4 linked regions of the Caenorhabditis elegans genome follow. The protein of the gene in region 1 purifies or fractionates together with the protein of each later gene. This does not show direct contact. Each region holds a gene or a part of one and is shown in the gene's direction. Other genes may lie near its edges.

Region 1 (4,619 bases):
TTCTAGGTGCTTTTCCATTCGAAATATTTTAAATACCTAAGAAATGTTTTTTGAAATTCCTGTTTTAGGATTGCAACGTCATTTTTTCAACTAAGAATGGCAGATGGTCCAATGGCAAAAAAGTTTCGAATCTGGAATCCCGCAGTTTCAGAAGTGTCTGAAAACCGGGAAGATCCTGGAACAAACCTACAGACTCAAGATGAAGAATCTCCAGACGAGACACCTCTTGATTGCACTTCCAAGACTGCACAAATTCAGTTTCCCCAAGTTTTTCAAGTAATATATCCAAGTACTGTACCAAATGCACAAATAATATTTTTCAGAATTATCTTCAACTTGCACCCCTAATGATTCGCCTTCAACAACAACGTCAAATGGAAGAGTTTGCACGCCGCCAATTCATTTCCACATTATGCCATGCTTCACCAGCACCGATTACTGTACCTCTTCCACGTGTCCAGCAACCCCGTGCAACCACATCAACCAGTTCCTCCTCTTCCACGTCATCAAGCTCTGGGGTTACTGTACCTTCTACAATGAACAATCCACTTGTGGCTAATGCTCTTGGCAGTTCTTTGGTTAATGAAAATTGTTGTGCTGTATGTGGAGCAGTTTTCAGGTAAATACTACAAAGCTCTTGGTTCTGGAATCCAATTTTCTTGATTTCAGACTGACTGGTGACTTAGTACAACATATGCGTAACAATCATCGAAAGAGCAAGTTCAAGAGAAAATCGGATCTTCGTCAATAAGAAACAAAATAACTTTTCCTTTTTTTTCTCCGAGAATTTTATTATTTAGCTACTTAATATTTATTATTTGTCTCAAAACGTTTTTCCAGTGATTTCTCTTTTTCTGTCTTTTCTCTTTCTTGCAATAATTTTTTTCCTAGAATTTCCTCTTTTCAATGAAAAATCTTATTGATATACTTTTTTTTCCAATTTTTTACAAGATGTGGTAGACCAATGCTGTTCTTCGAACAATTTTCATCGAGAAAGGAATAATTCTAGAAAAAATAATTTTAGTGGACGGATGATTCCAACTGAATTTTTTTCTAACAAAAATGAGTTTTCAGCCACAATAAGGCCTCAATCATGAATAGGCCTGAAAATTTCTACAGTGCTCATGATCGCTGTGAGACCCGGAACTCACGCAACAGTGCGCGCCTGGAAACCGTACCATCGAAATGTTAGTTCATTTTTTTTCCTAATTATACTTTTTAAAGAAACACCATATATTCCGTTCAGCTCTAAAAATTATTCAAAAGAGTAATAAAACTATACTAGAAAACTATTTTAGTATTTAGCGAAACTTTCTTAATCTGAATCATAAATTACGATCTACAAGTTTGATCTTTGTTTCCCGCGTCCTGTTAAACATTTTCCATGAGAAAATAAAACACATACAGCACCGACATTTTTCAATTCCATGTTCTTTTTTCAAAACATTGTTTCTGGTCTCAGTGTGAATATAATCATACCTTTTGTTTCCGCTTGTTATCAGTTGAACGTTTATTACTTCATCATCATTTTTCATTAACACGCCCTGTTATGATCAATATACTCGTTTATTTAACGTTTTTACTTTCTGGTGGGAAAGGAAAAACGCGTTTAGAACTCTTTTCCGCACAACGCTCCGAAATAACGTCTTGGGCGTTGTTTAGCGCCGTAAATCAACATGTAGTTTAGATTCATCTGATTTAATACATTTTATTGGTTCTGTCGACTTATTTCTCTACGTATTTAAAATTCGAAATCCAAATTTTTTTCAGAAATGGATCTCACTGTTCCAGTTGAATATTCACGTGCCGGTAACACAACTCACAGCGGTAATGTGCATGCCATTCAAGACGATGAGAAATTCTCGTATGGTACGACTAAAAATAAAATATTTTCTTTTATCATTTTCAAAGTTTGCTATTTCAGGAACTGCTGGATTCCGATTCAAGTCCGAGAAGCTTCCATTCATCGTCTTCCGGTGTGCTTACGTTGCGAGTCTTCGTGCGCGGCAGCTCAACTCAGCTATCGGAGTGATGATTACAGCTTCACACAATCCATCATGTGACAATGGTGTGAAATTAGTGGATCCAAGTGGCGATATGCTCAATGAGCAGTGGGAGGTTAGTGAAAATAAATAAAAAACGCACAGAAACCTTTTTTCTACAGATATACGCGACTGAAGTTGTGAATGCTACTGATGCCGAGCTCCCAGCCGCAGTTCGAGCTCTTGAAAAACAAATTTCAGTCGGAAAGACCCAACTTTCCCGTGTCGTTTGTGGTATGGACACACGTTGCTCTGGTCCTTGTCTGATGAATGCAGCAAGAGCCGGTGCAGCGTTATTCAATGTACAATTCGATGATATCGGTGTTGTGTCGACTCCAATGCTTCATTATGCTGTCAAGGCATTCAACGAGCCAAAATTCGCAGAGCCAACTCACGATGGATATTATTCTGCAATCGCCGATTCGTTCAAGAAGCTGTATGAAATAACTGAGGAACCCAAAGACTCGAGGTACGGTTCAGAGAAAAACTTGCCATTAAAAAAGTATTCTTCAGATATCAACCAAAAGTCATTGTCGATTGCGCAAACGGAGTCGGTGCTCCACGGTTCAGAAATCTTCTTGAGCGAATCCCATCATCACTTCTGGAAGTTGAATTTCGTAATGAATCGGAAGAACTGAATCAGGGATGTGGTGCCGATTTCGTTAAGATTTCGCAAAAGTTACCAGCAAACTTCTCACCGACAGCAGCAGAACCAAAATGTGCTTCATTTGATGGAGATGCCGATCGCTTGATGTACTTCCGTGCAAAGGCTTCAGAAAATTCGGAATCAAACGATGCTGAGCTGTTCGACGGTGACAAAATTGCAGTTCTGATTGTCACATACATTCGGGAGCAACTGAAGGTGATTTATTTCAAAATAATAGTTATCAAATTATGAATAAACTGAGTGTGAAGTTTTCAATGATGCATCATTCTAGGATTACGAAAATTCCACTCCGATGGAACGTCTCCGCCTTGGTATTGTTCAAACAGCATATGCGAATGGAAGTTCAACACGCTACATTCGTGAAAAGTTGGGTATTGAGCCAATTATTGTACCTACTGGAGTCAAGCATCTGCATGAAGCTGCTTCTGAGTTCGACATTGGAATTTATTTCGAGGCCAACGGACACGGAACTGTTGTTTTCAGCGAGATTTTCGACCGCATCATCAGAAGGTATAGGAGACTAAACAGCTTCATAAATTTCTTTTTTTTCAAATATAGAAATGAATTGTTTCAGAACTCCAACTGAATCATTACCTCTCCGTCGTCTAGCACTTTTCTCCCGTGTCATCAATGAAACTGTTGGGGATGCTTTTGCAGATTTGCTTGCCGTGGAAGCTGTTCTCCGTCACTATGGATGGTCTATGGATGACTGGGCCGAAAAACTGTATCGAGATGTTCCGAATGTGCAGATCAAAGTTCCAGTTATTGATCGTTCCATTTTCAAAACGACGAACGCCGAGCAAACTCTTGTGAAACCTGTTGGAATTCAAAAAATGATTGATACGGATGTTGCAAAGTACAATAATTCGAGAGCTTTCATCAGGTAATCTTATCTGAAGTTTTTGTTTCATATTCAAATCGATTTCAGACCATCTGGCACCGAGAACATTGTTCGCGTATACGCTGAAGCGGATACTGTTGAAAATACATTGCAACTCGGAAAATCTCTCGAACAAGTCGTTCTCAACCTTTGCAACTCGAACTGAAGAAAATAAATTCCATATGTAGTCTCGAGTTTTCACAATGTATTTTTATTCATCCCTTCAGTTTAGTCATTTTCAGCATAATCTCCCAAAGTTTTTTTTAAATTTTTCCCTTTCATATTCCCATATTTATTTGTTAAAATTCATTTATGAGTTTCTACTGGTTTCCCCATTTCCCTATATCAACTTTCAACGGTTTTAAAGTAAATTCCTGGTTTCATTAAAACACATCATTGGCCCTTTCCCCTATGCTTTAAAATATATTGAAAAATTGTGATAACTAGATAACAGAGTGATGACGAATTGAAGATTCTCGTTTTGAGACTTCATCTTGAGTAAAAATGAATGTTTCGATATAAAATCATGGGTATTCTAGCTCGTTGTTCAATAAGAAGTCTACAATTTCTTTTGTACTTTCGTTATGAAATTTTCGTTTGTGGAAATTTCCATGGAAACATTTTCCTAATTTTAAGACCGCAAAACAAATTTTCAATCGATTTAAAAATGTCGTCGGATGGTGAGCAGGATGAAGAAAATCCGATCCTAGCACGGCATCGGCGTGAAAAGAAAGAGTTGAGAGGTAATTTTGACATTAAAAGAGAAAAATATTTCAAGTAGACTTGAAATGTACAACCAAACATTTTTTTTGATCTACCCGCCAATACTGAAAACTATGCGGATGTTTTTTAAATGTTCTTGATAGTTTTCAATCAACCAGTTCCGTAGTCTTTCACTTACTTCTTCGCATTTTTCTACAAATTCCCATTATTCATTATGTCGGGCACACCAAAACGAAACAGAACCTATTTGGCCCCGGATGATGAACATACTCCCACTAAAAAGAGGGAATCATCACCAAAATCACGC
Region 2 (7,874 bases), on another chromosome or scaffold:
TAAATTCCGGAGATTAAAGATTTCTGACAAATTTTCCAAATTGCCGAAATCGATTTCCGGAAAATCGAAAATTTGCCGAATTTTTTTCAGACAAATTTCTTAAAATCCCAGTTTTTTTTTTTAATTTTCGAGAAAAAAGCCTGAAATTGTATGAAATTTATTTTTTCTTACAATTAGAAAAATTTTAAAATAAGTTTTTTAACGAAAAAGCTTAAAAATTCTGTAAATCTTATAAAAGCACAGTTTTTTGTTGAAATTTTCAAAATTTTAAAATTCTGAAAAAAAATTTCTTAATATTTTGAACAGGAAATCTGGAAAATCTGAAGTTCTAAAAAAATTTACAAATTATTTTTTCGCCAATTTTCAAAAATTGCAATTTATACTTACTTTTCTTGGTAAAACCAATATTAAATTGCGGGAAGAAATGAGCTTTATAAAAAATTCCGAATTTCTCTCAAATTAGTAAAAATTCCAACAAAAAATGTTTTTTTGAAATTTTTGAAAACATTTTTTCAAAAATATTTTTTTTTTTAAATTCTCAATTCTACCTTCCTATTTTCAGCACAAAAGAGCACGAAATTCGTTCACAATCGGAAAGCCGCGAGTACAGTCAGGCAGTACAGTTGAAAATCGAACGACTTCAGACGGAGCTCAAAATTCTCACAAATTTCAAAATGAATTTCGGCATTCAGCACACCATTTTCACGATGAATTAGGTCAAACTACAGTATCCCCCCCCCCCCCCTCACAAATCGTTGCGGGACCCACATTTTTGCTCAAAATTTCATTTTTCTACCGTCTAACACTTGACTTTTTTTCCCCATAATACCGATTTGTTCGTTTCTGTTGTTATCAAATGCTACAGTCTAGCCACATTTTCTCATTTTACTCCCCTTATATTTGTAAAATTGTTTAGTTTGTTTTTTTTTCGCCTGGAAATCGATTTTTTTGCGAATAGTTGAAAAATTTTGGAAAATTTAGAAAAATTCAGAAATTTTAGTTTTTAGTAATTTTTTTAAAAACTTTTTCAGTCAAAAATACTGAAATTTCCGGAATTTCAAAAAAAAATTATAGAAAAGTTTCTTAAAATTATAGCGTTTTGTTGAAATTCCCGATAAAATTGGTAAATCCTGGAAATTCTAAAAATTAAATTTTTTATCCAAAAAATTCAGCTAAACAGAAAATTGTTTGAACTTTTTAATTAAAAATTCCCGATTTTACAGAAAAAGTCAAAAATTTTGAAAAATCGTGAAAATTCTAAAAATTCGATTTTTTTATCGAACATTTTTTTGAGAATCCCAAAAAAACTGAAAAAAATAAAAATTTTAATTAAAAATTTCAGATTTTAGCGAAAATTCTCAAAAATTTTGGAAAAATAGAAAAAATTTCAACTTTTTGATTAAAACTCCCAGATTTTTGCAAAAATTCTCAAAATTTTGGAAAAAAAACTGAATTTTTTCTCCAAAAAATCCTATTTTTGTTAAAATTCTCGAAATTTTTCGGAAAAATCCTAAAATTTCCAATTTTTATCCAAATTTCCATAAAAATCGATTTCCAGCGACTTTTTATCATTACCTAGTTTTTAGTTTTTTTTTGTTTTGAATATTTTTTTCTTTTTTTTCCTCAGCTCCCAATTTTTAAAAACTATTTTAATTTAATATCGTCAATCCTCTCCTGTCACCATTGTTAATGTTTTTTTTTGAAATTTTAATTAAATTTCTACCATTTTTAATCCATTTTTCTCTATCCGATCGATTTTCCATGAAAATTGGTCCTAAAACGACCTAATGACCTATATTTCTGAATCACCCAGAGGCGGGGGCGGAAACATAGATGAGTATCTCGTAATTCAGAACACGATGACGGCGTACGTTGGACGAGCCTGGACGATGCTTCGTTTTTATACGGATTTCGCATACGCCGGTGTTGCCTATTTGGTTAATTCAAAGGCACATAGGTTGGTTTGTAATTCGGGGTCTTGGCGCGAAAGTTTTTTTTTTCAAAATTTCGGCTTTTTGTGTCGATTTACGAGCTTTTCCAGGCTTTCTCGACGATTTTTTTTTTGAATTTTCATAATTTCGGTTTTGTGCCGATTTACGAGAATGACAAAGAAAATTAGGAATTTCAGCTCTTTGTGTAGTTTTACTAGCTCATTAATTCTTTGGTAAATTTTGCCTCTTTGTGTCGATGTACGAGCTTTTTCAGGATTTTTCCACGAATTTTTTTTTGATCTTTTTCCTGAATTTTCGAAATTTCGGTTTTCTGTCGATTTACGAGAATAGTAGAAAATTAGAAATTCCGGCTTTTTGTGTCGATTTACGAGCTTGTGTTCAGTTATTTTTTAAATTCAAGTCAAAATTTCGGATGCCAGTGTAGATTTACGAGCTCATTTTTTGGTGAATTCTGACTGCTTGTGTCGATTTACGAGGTTTTTTCTGACTTTTAGAAATTGTTGTGTTAATTGATAATATTTTTAAATTATTCAATTTTTAAATAAATAATTTAATTCCTAAATTCTGAAAAAAACCAGTGCTCGTAAATCGACACAGAGATGCGTAAATCTACAATGCCATGATTAAAAAAAAACTATTTTCCAGGATGTATGATATTGTTTCTCATGAATCTGAGAAAAATTGAAAAAAAATTCCGCTCGTAAATCGACATCCAGCTGCGTAAACCTACAATGATACCAAAATTTGTTCCCTAATAAAGACATTTTTTTTTCTGAATTTTCTCTGAATTTTTTAAGAAGACTACTTTTTTTTGAATATTTATTAGTTTTAGGGGGCTTTAAAAAATTTTTAACAAACATTGTAAATTGCCGATTTGCCGGAAATTTTCAATTCCGGCAATTTGCCGGTTTGCCGGAAATTTTCAATTCCGGCAATATACTGATTTGCCGGAAAATTTCAATTCCCGCAATTTGCCGATTTGCCGGAAATTTTCAATTCCGGCAATTTGCCTTTTTGCCGGAAATTTTCAATTCTGGCAATATACTGATTTGCCGGAAAATTTCAATTCCCGCAATTTGCCGATTTGCCGGAAATTTTCAATTCCGGCAATTTGCCTTTTTGCCGGAAATTTTCAATTCTGGCAATTTGCCGGTTTGCCGGAAATTTTCAATTCCCGCAATTTGCCGATTTGCCAGAAATTGCATTGTACTATACAATTGCATTATCAATACATTCTGACTTATCGCCCAAGTCACAAAATTGCAAAATTCCATTGGCTGACACCTAGAAATTGGCAAACATCATCATTTAAGTGTAGCCAACTGACTACAGTGTTCCGAAAATAAGGGAAATTTAGAAAGAGAGAGAGAGATAGACGAAACAAGTCACAGAACGATTATCGATCACTTTTCAGTTGGTTTTCTTTAATTCTTCATAGTTTCCCATTTGAAACAATGTCTCGAAATTCAGTAATTTTTCCGGAAAAAAAGTTAAATCAAATTGGTTGTAAAGTTTTGTATTATTTAAAAAAATTGTGCATTTATTAACAATCAGAACCTGTAAAAGTTGGCAAAAATTGAAAAAAAAGTCTCCGTAAATCGACAGCTAGCTGCGTAAAACAACACTGATTGGAGTAGATTTAGACTAGATTATGACTAGATTTAGGAATTAAAGAATTAAATTATTTAAAATATATCGAAATAACCGAAACTAAAACTGAAATCTATTGCGCAACATAATTGACGCGCAAAATATCTCGTTGCGAAAACTACAGTATCTCTTTAACTGACTAATGTAGCGCTGGTTTTGATTTTCGGGCAATTGCAGTTTCGAATTTACTCTGCAAAAAAAATCACAAATTTTGCATAAAGCACTACACTTTTTTCAAAACTTCTCTGAAAATCTCGAAATTCTTTTTTTCAGAGCCATGCCAAGCCTCACTCACGTGGAGCCCATCGAGAAGCTCTCCGACGCGGTCACCAGAATTCTCGGCCACAATCCCGGCCCCTTCACTCTTCAAGGAACTAATACATATCTACTGGGCACTGGTGCAAAGTAGGCAGCAATATTCTGAAAATTTTTAATTTCTAATCAAATTTTTTCTTTCAGAAAAATCCTCGTGGACACTGGTGAGCCGAACGTCACCGAGTACATTTCGGCACTGAAATCAGTTCTCGCATCTACGAATTCCCACATTGAATATATCGTTATTACGCATTGGCATGGCGATCATGTTGGTGGAATCGATAATATTACTGATGAGATTTTGGATAAAAAGAAGATACCTATTTATAAAATGAAACGGGACAAGGATGAGGGTGTCGAGAGATTTCATTATGTTGACGATGGGTTTGAGGTTGCAGTTGATGGAGCCACGCTGAAGTGAGCATTTATCATTAGAGAATTGGTTTTATTAGAAAAAAACCGTAGTAGTACTGTAGGGATACTGTAGTTCCGCTGTAGGTGCACTGTAGGTATGTACTGTAGCATTAAGGAGGACTAACGGTTCGGACGATTTTGACCGTATAGACCCAAAATGAGCTCAAATGAACGAATTTCGTAATGAAACTGCTCAAAACAATTTTCAAAAATTTTTTATGGCGTTTCAAAATTTTGAAAAAATTGAAAAAATGAATTATCGTCCTTTATTACATATATTGGTAATTAATCTCATTTAATTTCGTCGATTAAGGTACATTTAAAGCCGTTAGGTAACCAAAAATCATCGAAATTGGTTACCTATCGGCTTTAAATGTACTTTAATCCACGAAATTAAATGAGATTAATTGCCAATATATGCAATAAAGGACGATAATTCCAAAAAATCCAACTTCGGACAGATGTGACACGAAAAAATGGGAAAAACTCATGATTTTAGGTAAAATCAGTGTAATTTTTTCAAAATTTTGAACCGCCATAAAAAATGTTTGAAAATTGTTTTGAGCAGTTTCATTACGAAATTCGTTCATTTGAGCTCAATTTGGGTCTATACGTTCAAAATCGTTCGAACCGTTAGTCCTCCTTTAGTAGTACTATAGTGATAGTGTAGGGTTACTGTAGGTATATTATAGGAGTACTGTAATAGTGCCGTAGGGGCACTCTAGTAGTACTATATGGGTAGTGAAGGAGTTTTGTAGAGGTACTGTAGGTATATTTCGGTTGTACTGTAGTAGTATTATAGGGTTACTGTAGGAGTACTTCAGGGGTACTGTAGTGATATTGGGAGGGGTGGGTACTGAAGTAGTGATATTGGGGTACTGTAGTAGTACTGTATTTCTAGAAACAAATTAATTGTGTCTTTTTAAATGAGTAGTGTTGTAGGGGGTACTGCTAGAAATCGATTTTTTGTTGTGAAAATTTGGAAAAAATTGGAATTTTCTGAAATTTCAAATTAAATGCAATTTCAGTTACCATCTGTTATTTTTAAGAATTTTTGATTTTAAATTCCTTTGAAATTTTCTATATTATTTTTTTTTCCGGGACGATTTTTTAAATTCCTAATTTTTGTCGAAAATCTCCGAAAATAATAAGGAAAAAACCTTAACAATTAATGTTCCTCAAAAAATACCTTGAAATCTCAGTTTTTTGTTGAAATTCTCAAAAAAAAAAAGGATCCATATTTTTTTTCAAAAAGGAATTTATGAATACAAAATTTTTTGAACGTTTGTTCCAAAAAAATGTGTTAGTACAGTAGTGCCGTAATGGTAGCAATACTGTAGTAGTAGTAGTACTGTAGGGGTAATGTAGGGACATTGTAGTAGTATTATAGGGGTACTGTAGTGGTACTACGGAGGTACTGTAGAAGTTCCGAAGGTGTGCTGCATTAGTACTGTAGGGGTACAGTAGTACAGTAGTACTGTAAGTGTACTGGTACTATAGCTATTTTGTACGTGTACTGTAGGTATATTGTAGTTGCACTATAGTATTATTATAGGGGGTACTGTAGTGGTATTGTACAAGGCTGGGATTTTTTTTTGAATTTTTTTGCCATTGTAACGAAAAATTGATTTTTTTGTTTGTTTTTTTAAGACCGAAAAACCAAAAAAAAATGCATTTTTCACGGTAAAAAAATTAATTCAAGTATCAAATTTTTTGTTGGTTTTTTTTTGATTTTTCCCAAATTTCAATTTTTCTTGGTCCAAAATCAAAACGAAACACTTATTGTTTTTTGATCCCAGCCCTGAAACTGTGGTATTAACTGTAGTAGCATAGCTCTTTTTCAAAAAAATTGAATTGCCATGAGAAATTTTTTTTTGGAAATTTCAAGATATATCAATTTAGCCTTTCTTCGAGTTATTTTAAAAGTGGTGTAGTCGAATTTTTTTAAATTTCTTTATTGGACTCAAAATTGTCTGAAAACACCGAATTTCATAATGAAACTTCTTGAAAACTTTTCAAAAAAAAGTTATGGCCTCTTGAAAAATGGCCTAAAATTAGTGAAAATTTGAAATTTGACCGACTTATCATTGTCGCAGCGGCTGGAAACAATTTTTTTTTGAAATTGTCGTCTAATTTTGGGTATACAGGTCGATTATCTTGCATTTTCAGCTTTATTAAGGTATTTGAAAGTCGATGGACGAAGAGAATTGATGAAAAAAATTTGACAAATCTCTTCGTCCATCGACTTTCAAATACCTTAATAAAGCTGAAAACGCAAGATAATCGACCTGTATAGCCAAAATTAGACGACAATTTCAAAAAAAAATTGTTTCCAGCCGCTGCGACAATGATAAGTCGGTCAAATTTCAAATTTTCACTAATTTTAGGCCATTTTTCAAGAGGCCATAACTTTTTTTTGAAAAGTTTTCAAGAAGTTTCATTATGAAATTCGGTGTTTTCAGACAATTTTGAGTCCAATAAAGAAATTAAAAAAAATTCGACTACACCACCTTTAAAATAACTCGAAGAAAGGCTAAATTGATATATCTTGAAATTTCCAAAAAAAAATTTCTCATGGCAATTCAATTTTTTGAAAAAGAGCTATGCTACTACAGTTAATACCACAGTTTCAGGGCTGGGATCAAAAAACAAAAATTCGGTGTTTTCAGACAATTTTGAGTCCAATAAAGAAATTAAAAAAAATTCGACTACACCACCTTTAAGCTAGTCCATCTTTAAACATTAAATTTCCAGACTAATCGCCACTCCAGGCCACACCGCCGATCACTTCTCTCTGTGGCTCCAAGAGGAACGAGCATTGTTCAGTGGAGACTGCATCCTCGGCGAGGGAACTACCGTCTTCGAGGATCTTCATGACTATATGACTTCACTGCAAAAGATCAAGGATCTCAATGCGACAAGGATTTATCCGGGTCATGGTCCGGTTATCGATAAGGTCGTGGAGAAGGTTGACGAGTACATCGAGCACCGAATGAAACGAGAACGCGAGATTATCAAAGTGCTCAAAGAGCACGAGGAGATCACCAGTATGGATGTGACTAATCAGGTTTATGCTGACTCGCCGTGGGCTGTACGACTGGCTGCGTTGAACAATGTGAAGCTCGTGCTGAAGAAGCTTTGCAAGGATGGAGTCGTTGAGAATCCGCATTTTGAGACTTTCAAGTGGATTGGAGGCAGTAGTAGTGGAGAGGAGAAGAAGAATGAATCGTCGAATTTGTAGAAAAAAAAAATTATTTTTTGGAATTTTAAATATTTAATTCGCTCTTTATGTGTTTTCAAAATGTAGAATTTACGATGTTAATTCGAACTTTTCATAGATTAAATTTAAGTTTTAACCTACCTATATTTGAGAATTCCAAAAAATCTCGAAAATATTCATTTTTTAAATTCGAAAACCATATTTTTTCGAATTAAAAAATTCAAACTTCTGGAAAAAATTTGAAATTTTTAATTTTTTTTGTTTGATTTTTCAAAAAATTTCCGGAAAATTAATTTCAGTACCAATTTTTTCAAAATTTCGAG
Region 3 (4,209 bases), on another chromosome or scaffold:
ATAATGTACAAGAATCCAAGAGATTATCATGGAAAGCTGAGAATCTTCGGAAAATGAAAAATGTAAATTATACATTGAGCAAGAAGTTTCAAGTTGAAGAAAATGTGAAAATTATTAAATATCTGCAAGTTATGAGCTCCATGTTGGTTTTTCTCATATTTTTTGTTATTATATTTATTGTAGTTCCTAGAGTATATCTGGGTTCAAAAACATATTCGGGTCAAGTTATGATTTCACTTTTTGATATTAATTTGGCACTTGGTGCAATTCTAATTCCTTCCGTTTGCGTTTTACATTTACGGAAAACTAGAGATATGCCATTTTCTGTAGGTTTTTATCAATTTTTCAGATTTTCATTATATATTTTCAGGGGAAAATCCATTGTTTGAATAAGAGACGCGATGACCGTCAGGTGAACCCGATTACTGTATTTGAAGACGTTACAAAATCATATTTCGATCAATTTCAAACATCTTGGCGATGATTCATATGATTTTTGGAAATATTACTTTGAAGTTTTGTTATAAAATGTTACATTAGAAACATTTGTGTTTTTTAAACATGTTTTATTCTTCAGTGATTCTTCCAGCACAAAACAAAAACAGCACAAAGTCCGTTGTTTTATTTTTAGTGAGAGCGTCACTTTGTTTTTATAAATAATTTAGATTCTTTTATTCATATAATTTTTGGGTAAAAAACTGTTTTTGGTTTTTTGAAAAATTTCATTAAAGTGAAACATTAACCACGGTAGAATTAAAGGCGCAGCATGAATAAGTTTTCGTGTGCTCCGCAACGATTTTAACTACCTTAACCTACAATCGGAATTCGTTTAAAAAACAAAAAGCGAGTCATTTTGTTTCAATAAAAAGTTGAGTTTTTCTTAAATACTTATCAATATTTTCTCCAAATTTCATTCGGTTACTATCAAAAAAAAGTTTTTTATTAATTACGGTCGGTTTAAAGGCACAGAAGGAAAAAAGTGTTTGTCAGTATCGCAGCGATTTTAATTACCGCATACCATTATTGAAATTTTGTTTGAAAAAAACAAATTACTCGAAATGCGCGCGCGGTATTCACCATTTGTATCGTTCTTTTTCCCGAAATTTCGTTGTTTTTGTGTTCGACACAATATATTCAATAGTTTGTAGCGATGAAAACCTTGATAAGCAATAGGGGGCGTCTCGAATTTTCGAAAGAGAGTATAAAGAAGATAAATTTTTTTTCGCTCATTGATTTCTTTTCATTTTTCTTTATCTTTTTTGATGAACAGCAGCAGTTGTTCCATTTCTACACGTATTTTGTTGCTCTCTATTTCTCTGAACTCTCTGTTTGTGTGGGTGCTCTCCTTTGGCGCCAACAACTGCAGCTGGCATTTCTTTTCTTTTTTCGCTGCGAAATCTGAACTATTCCTGCCCACCCACCAGAAGATAAATAAATTCTTCGTGTTCTTAACATGTCTGTCTACCTGGACTTTAAAAACCCCATTTAAAAGTTGCATTTGAGGTCAAAAGTTATCCCAGAAGAGTTCGAGCACATTTTAGGTCGGCCCATTTCTAAAGTTATTCATTTTTCTATGTTTACTATCACTGAACATTGACCAACCACTTGACTTTCGTGATAAGATACGAAGCGATCATTTTCTGTTTACTATTTTCTCTTTTCTCATAGTCAGTCCATTTTATTTTCTGATCTATAATATTTATTTTCAGCCTAAAATGGGAATCGCCGTCGTTGAAACCCCCACAAAACCATTCGCAGGACAGAAACCCGGAACATCTGGTCTTCGCAAACGGGTTCCGGAATTCCAGCAGCAGAATTACACGGAAAACTTTGTTCAAGCAATTTTGGATGCTGGTCTTGGATCGAAAAAGAAGGGTTCTCAGTTGGTTGTTGGTGGAGATGGACGGTTTCTTTCGATGGAAGCCACAAATGTGATTATTAAAATTGCAGCAGCCAATGGGGTAAGAAATATTGAGAAATTTTAGTAATTTTTTTATAAATTTGAGTTTTTCAGCTTTCCCGTCTTATCGTCGGTCAAAACGGTTTCTTGTCGACGCCAGCTCTCTCGAATCTTATCAGAAAAGGACACGAAGGTCGTGTTGTTGATGGAGGAATAATTCTCACTGCTAGTCACAATCCAGGAGGTCCAAAGGGAGATTTTGGAATCAAATTCAACTGCGAAAATGGTGGACCTGCTCCAGATCAAGTCACTGATGCCATTTATCAGATCACAACTAAAATCGATAAATACTTGATTGCCAAGGATTTAGAATGCGATTTTACACAAGTTGGAAGGTAAACACATCAATATTTTGATTACATTGATGTACATTAATTTTCAGATATGAATATGATATTGAGGGAGTTGGTCACTTTGTCGTTGACGTCATTGATTCAGTTACCGAATACATCAACCTCATGCAGAAAATCTTTGATTTCCCAAAAATCAAATCCCTTCTCGCTGGTGAACTTACTGGACGCAAACTCAGAGTTTTACTTGATTCGATGCACGGAGCAACTGGACCATACATCTCTACAATTCTTGTCGATCATCTTGGAGCTGATCCTTCTGATCTTTTGAGAACTGTTCCAAAGCCAGATTTCGGTGGAGGTCATCCAGATCCAAATCTCACCTACGCAAAAACTCTTGTTGAACGCCTCCACACCGGAGAACACGATTTAGGAGCTGCATTTGATGGAGATGGTGATCGTAATATGATTCTTGGAAAGAATGGCTTCTTCGTTTGCCCCAGTGATTCTTTAGCTGTTATTGCTGATAACATTGATTATATTCCATATTTCAAGACTCGTAAGGTTGCTGGTTTTGCTCGTTCAATGCCAACTGCTGGAGCTGTTGATTTGGTTGCCAAGGCAAAGGGACTTCAAGTGTATGAGACACCGACCGGTTGGAAGTACTTTGGAAATCTTATGGATGCTGGAAGAATTGCTATTTGTGGAGAAGAATCATTCGGAACTGGATCTGATCACATTCGTGAGAAGGATGGCGTTTGGGCACTTCTTGCATGGCTTCAAATTCTCGCAGACCGAAAAGAATCCGTCGAGGAAATTGTGACGAAGCATTGGCAGAAATATGGAAGAAATGTGTTCACTCGTTACGACTATGAGAATGTGGATGCAGCTGGTGCCAACTTGTTGATGACTTTCCTTGAAGCTCAATTGCCAGCATTTGTTGGAAGAGATTTCTCGGCAAATGGGGTTACATATAAGGTGAGAGAAAGTTCGAAAAGATTTATTTTTTCTAAAAAATACTATTTCCAGGTTGCTGTCGCTGACAATTTCCAATATACTGATCCAGTGGATGGTTCAGTTGCAACCAAACAAGGACTCCGAATTGTCTTCGAAGATGGATCTCGATTGGTATTCCGACTCTCTGGAACAGGATCTGCCGGTGCTACCATCCGTCTCTACGTTGATTCGTACATTCCTTCAAATGACACTTCTCGCCTTCTACTTCCAGCTCACGAATTGCTCAAACCATTGGTGTTGATTGCACTTGATACTTGCAAAATGGAGCAGTTCACTAATCGCAAGGCTCCAACTGTTATCACATAATTTTAGTATTTAAAAATGATTTATATATTGCATGAGTTTAGCTAAATAATTATGTGTAGATTTTCCTCGGTTTATATAATTTTATGTTGCACGTAAACGAAAAGTTGAATGAAAATTTGAAAACTTATGAGAATATTGTGAAATACATCAATGTTGGTTTTTGGAAAAAAAAGTTGATGTTTGTGGTTTTCTGATGTCGATTTAGTGAGAAATGAGAAACGCAGACACTGAGAGCGAAGGGTTCAAAAGCGCCAGATTGTGACGAATTCTTCATTTTATTCTGAAAAATGGTTTCCTATAAACTAATTTATTTTCAATCTCGTGGAAATGGAGAAATCGCTCGTCAAGTTTTCGCTTTTGCCGGCCAAGAATTTATTGATGAGCGTATTTCTAAAGAGCAGTGGGCAGAAATTAAAAATAGTAAGTTCAAAAGTTGCATTTTAGAATGAAATCCTCAGTTTAAAAAGTTGATTAATTACAATGTAGCGAAATGCTTCAGTTTTTAAGTGGTATCCCGCCACGAACAAAATATCCTCACATAAAGATTAAGGTGTGCCTTTAAGCAGTACAGTAACCCATTTTACAATTTTATTCGATTTTTCCACATTATTAAATAAATTCAATTCGATTTTCTAC
Region 4 (4,568 bases), on another chromosome or scaffold:
ATTGAAATGGAAGAGTTTGCCGAACTAGGCCATTTTGGTTCGGCCATATCTGGGGTAGATTTACCGCGCGTTGCGTGTCGCGTCGCGGCTCGTTTTTAGTTGTAATACTTAATGTATTTGTCCGCGTGGAGTACACGACATATTTCCACGCATTGTCCGGCGGGCGATTATCAATGGAGCGCAAAAATTCAATGAGGAAGGCCAGAACCCCGTGAAAAATGCCCAAACTTTTAGGCTATTTCACGGGGTTTTGGCCTTGCTCATTGAATTTTTAGCGCTCCATTGAGAATCGCCTGCCGGAGACAACGCGTGGGAAAGTGTCGTGTACTCCACACGGACAACTGCGTTTAGTTTTACAATCGAGCCGCGACGCGACACGCAACGCGCCGTAAATCTACCCAGACGACGATATATATAAAATCGAAAATTTCCGATTTTTTCTCCGAAAATTCGAAAAAAAATCCGATTTTTCGAGAACAGATTTCTGGCTTCCCTCGTAAATTGAAATGGAAGAGTTTGTGCCGAATTAGGCCATTTTGGCTCAGCCATATCTAGATATCTAGATATGGCTGAGCCAAAATGGCCTAGTTCGGCACAAATCTGTGTATTTCTCGAAAAATCGGATTTTTTTTTTCGAATTATCGGAAAAAAAATCTTAAAATTTCGATTTTTTTTTGGACATGGAAAACTGATAAACAATTTTTGAAGTAGCTATTATAGGATAATCTAGTCAAGAGCTAGAATTCCAGCCAAAAACTGACAATTTTCAGAGACAAGGAGGGCAAAATCATCCCGCCGAGAACCGCTGCAGCACTGATGGGAACTTTTCAATATTGTGCAGTTTCTGCCCACTCTCACAAGGACCAATGTGCACGGGACGACTTGGAAAGCTGGTTTTACATGGGTATTGAGTTGCTCAAGGGACCACTTCCATGGGCGAATATCGACGGTCACAAGAATCACAAGCAGATTGGAGAGGCGAAAGTCGCGATTCGAAGCGAGCCGCTTCGATCCGAGTTTTTCGAAGGAGTCCCGAAGCAATTTAATGAAATTCTCACGATTCTGGATCAAACGTCGTATTTCGACAGGCCAAATTACAAGAAGCTCGGTGATTTGCTGTCTCAGGCCGCCACGGAGCATCAAGTGACACTGAAAGAGCCTTTGGACTGGCAGAATAATGAGAGAATGCAGCAAAAGGCGATTTTCGTCGGGGAACTCGGAGAATCTCATCAAGCGTCGGCGAAGTTGGATGCGAAGGACAATGCGAATGAGTCGATGGATATTGAATTTGATGATATGCCACCAAAAGAGGGAATTTCTAAATCGCTCAGTGCGGAGAAATCGTGTACAAGTTGGAAAAATAATGGAAAAAACGTTGATTAAATTGAATTTATTTCAGAAAACGTCGAAACTGCGAGAACGGAGAAGTGAAGCACTAAATTGTACTACATTTATTCGATTTTTACTCGTAAATAAAGAATTTTAATTTAAAAATCACTTTTTTTGTTGGAATATCAATAAAAATCAATAAAAATGAATAAAATTCAAAAGCGGTGCGGCATGATCGTGGCGAGACCCAACGCCTGACTACTGTAGCAGGATTTACGGGCCCCCACGGCCCCTGTTTTTCTCCCAATTTTCTTTAATTTTTCATTGTTTTCATCGGAAATTTTTCCAGAAAACTGCGAAAATGCCGTTCGAGCGACCAACCGGCTTCAAAATGCCGCTTTCAGAGACTTTGAAGCTTGCTGGCTTGAAATATGCGAACCCGGAGGATGATGTGAGTTTTCCGAAATAACCTAATAAATTTCCCGTTTTTTCCAGTATCTCAAAAAGAATCCCAAGCGATTTCTGGAGGAAAGACTGCTGAAAATGGAAGTTCTGGCGAATTTGGATGCGGATAGCACAGAAAGTTTGTATTTTAGCTTGTTAAAATCATCCAATTTTTTCTGATTTTGTTTTCCAGTGCTATTCCGCTTTGCCGTCGGACAAAACGTGATGGCGGGATTCGAGAAGCTGAGAAGGGAGCTCAAGGATATTGAGTATATCTCGAGATTGAGGAAACCGAAGCTTCTCTCGATGCTTCCCTCCGACGCTGCTGCTGGGGCTAAGGACCCAGAAATCAAATTCATCACCAGAAGAGATAGTTTTCGCAATGTCACTGTTCGCCTAGTGCTAAAGGAACAGCCGAGTATATGATTTCATTGAGAAATGTGGGAAAAATAATTAAATTTCCATTTTCAGAGTCCACATTGTTTCCAGACGCGCCACGTGACAAGTTCATTCGCCTGGAACTTGGCAGGAAGCTCTCAGCTGAGGACAAGACAAAGCTCAAGGAAGAATTTGGGTAATTAGAAGAAAAAATCATTAAAATCTGCAATTATTTAAAGGTGGACTACGCTCAGTGGGGAAATTGCTTCAAAACACGCCCGTGGCCACAATGACCGAATAAAATTTTCTAGATTTTATATGATTTTTTGAAAATTGAAAAAAACAGTTTTCACCTAATTATTTTTGAATTTCCGTCAGGTTCGGTGGAGCGCGCTTGCATTATTTTTATTAATTAATTTTATTTATTCTCGTCATTTGACTGATTTTCTTATTTTTCTGTGTTTTTTCATCGGAAAATGAAAGAAATAAACAAGAAAAATGCAAAATGTTTGTTAAAAAGTAATTGAAAATGAGTAAAACTGTAAAATATACTAATTTCAGGCTTGTTGTCGTCGGAACTGAAATTATAATAGTATATATATATATATATTCACAGTTTTACGCATTTTCAATTACTTTTTAACAAACATTTCGCATTTTTCTTATTTATTCTTTCATTTTCTGATGAAAAAACATAGAAAATCAGTGAAATAACGAGAATAAATAAAATTAATTGATAAAAATAATGCAAGCGCGCTCAATCGAACAAATCCAATTGGCGGTAATTCAAATAGGAATTAGGTGAAAACTGTGAGTTTTTCAATTTTCAAAAAATCATATAAAATCTAGAAATTTTTTTTGAATTTTTTAAATCATGATATTCGGTCATTGTGGCCCTATAGGCGTGTTTTAAAGCAATTTCCCCACTTTCCACCTTTAAACCCTGCAATTATTTAATCAAAATCTATTTTCCAGCCAGCTCATGAACGGTGGTGGAGTCATGATCAATTTCATCACCAACTCCCTATGGCCGATCGTAATGAGAGCTGATATTCAGCAAAAGAAGGAAAACCAGGAGAAGCCGACGGCGGCGGCAGGAGCGCCGAAATACAAGCCACCACGTGGAGGAGCTCGTTTCGTCTCCTCCGGCGGTGATCGTCGTCCAACGATGGCAGTGCTGCCGACTGTCAAGGAGCACGTGGCTCATTCTGTTTCCAAGGAAAAATCATTCGAAAAAACGGATTTTTCGCGTGGAGCTGCGCCGTCGATTCAGGATTTGAAGCTAAAAGCCCCGAAATGCGCCCTCGCTTGGGGAAATGATCGTCCAACGAGGGAAATGCTCCCGACTGTTCCAGAAGAAAAGCCAGCTCTCGGTAGACGTGATGCTTCACGCGGACGCTCTATCCCGCGGGCTCAGCCGCCGGCTCAGGATTTGAAGCAGGATGCTCCGAGAGCTCCGAGAGCCACCTGGGGAAGTGACCGTTCAACGAGAGAAGTGCTCCTTCCGGCTGTTCCAGAAGAAAAGCCAGCTCTCGGTAGACGTGATGCTTCTTCGCGTGGACGATCCCTTCCGCCGCGGACTCTGCCTCAGGACTTGAAGGTTGAAGATGCGCCGAAAACGGTGGTCGGTGGAAGTTTTGGATCCAGAAGTAACGTGTTCGATCACAATTCAATGACGACTACGTTCCAAGCAAATCCGCAATTCGCAACTCACAATGGCTCAAACACCGTCGGAGGCAGGTTCGGAGGAGGATCACGACGAGGAAGAGGAGGAGGAGGTGGCGGCCGACGCGGCGAGAATGACTCTGCTCGTGGAGGAAACTGGCGAAATAGGCAAAATTGAATTATTTCTTAAAAAGATGAATACCCGTATTATTTTGTCTCGTTTTGTTTTAATTTTGTTTCTTTTTACTTTACGAAAAAGGAAAATTTCCTAAAAGCTGGTGTATATTTCGAAAAATTAAATTTTCGATTTTAGGATTTAAAAAATCGAAAAACCGATATCTTTTGCAAATGTTTGCAAAAAGAAAATTTTTTAATGAAAAAATGCTGTAAAAATAGGTTTTTCCGATTAAAAAAAGCGTTTTTTCGGCCAAAATCACGAAAAACCCAAAAACCCCCATTTTTAACAAAAAAAAAACAATAATTTTTACCGAAAAATTGGAAAATCAATCAGAAAATTCGATTTTTTTCCCCTAAAAACACGAAAAAAAAAATGTTTAAAAAACTCAATTTTCTATTAAATTTTGTTTTTTTTTTTACTTTACAAAAAAAGGCAAACTTCCTAAAAGTTCTTGAAAATTCGAAAAATTAAATTTTTTATTCTAGAAAAAAAATTCCAAACCGATATTTTTCTGCAAATTTTTCAACAAAAAATTTTAATGAAAAAAAGCCATAAAAATAGGTTTTTTTCGATT

Evidence for each region.
Region 2: the proteins of pgm-3 (region 1) and Y53F4B.39 fractionate together in Caenorhabditis elegans (co-fractionation; one large-scale study listed by BioGRID). This does not show direct contact.
Region 3: the proteins of pgm-3 (region 1) and pgm-1 fractionate together in Caenorhabditis elegans (co-fractionation; one large-scale study listed by BioGRID). This does not show direct contact.
Region 4: the proteins of pgm-3 (region 1) and Y66D12A.19 fractionate together in Caenorhabditis elegans (co-fractionation; one large-scale study listed by BioGRID). This does not show direct contact.

Annotation. Positions count from the first base shown.
Region 1 is NC_003282.8:8,723,952-8,728,570, forward strand, and holds pgm-3 (Phosphoacetylglucosamine mutase), read left to right. Parts: upstream 1-1,770; 5' UTR 1,771-1,772; coding exon 1,773-1,869; intron 1,870-1,924; coding exon 1,925-2,118; intron 2,119-2,164; coding exon 2,165-2,511; intron 2,512-2,555; coding exon 2,556-2,904; intron 2,905-2,980; coding exon 2,981-3,219; intron 3,220-3,283; coding exon 3,284-3,592; intron 3,593-3,637; coding exon 3,638-3,755; 3' UTR 3,756-4,109; downstream 4,110-4,619. Other genes in the region: F21D5.9 (C2H2-type domain-containing protein), read left to right, coding at 97-276, 324-619, 670-751; otub-3 (OTU domain-containing protein), read left to right, coding at 4,527-4,619.
Region 2 is NC_003280.10:15,108,293-15,116,166, forward strand, and holds the start of Y53F4B.39 (Beta-lactamase-like protein 2 homolog), read left to right. Parts: upstream 1-1,851; 5' UTR 1,852-1,859; coding exon 1,860-1,957; intron 1,958-3,875; coding exon 3,876-4,007; intron 4,008-4,061; coding exon 4,062-4,334; intron 4,335-7,085; coding exon 7,086-7,572; 3' UTR 7,573-7,874. Other genes in the region: wshc-4 (HEPN_LA2681 domain-containing protein), read left to right, coding at 563-716.
Region 3 is NC_003280.10:4,887,728-4,891,936, forward strand, and holds pgm-1 (phosphoglucomutase (alpha-D-glucose-1,6-bisphosphate-dependent)), read left to right. Parts: upstream 1-1,709; 5' UTR 1,710-1,715; coding exon 1,716-1,961; intron 1,962-2,014; coding exon 2,015-2,295; intron 2,296-2,342; coding exon 2,343-3,228; intron 3,229-3,279; coding exon 3,280-3,573; 3' UTR 3,574-3,700; downstream 3,701-4,209. Other genes in the region: R05F9.7 (Serpentine Receptor, class E (Epsilon)), read left to right, coding at 1-326, 371-484; gst-9 (putative glutathione S-transferase 9), read left to right, coding at 3,861-3,993.
Region 4 is NC_003281.10:11,507,437-11,512,004, forward strand, and holds Y66D12A.19 (ArgoN domain-containing protein), read left to right. Parts: upstream 1-1,644; 5' UTR 1,645-1,690; coding exon 1,691-1,780; intron 1,781-1,824; coding exon 1,825-1,912; intron 1,913-1,966; coding exon 1,967-2,191; intron 2,192-2,244; coding exon 2,245-2,347; intron 2,348-3,126; coding exon 3,127-3,994; 3' UTR 3,995-4,031; downstream 4,032-4,568. Other genes in the region: Serine/threonine-protein kinase spe-6, read left to right, coding at 771-1,351, 1,400-1,431.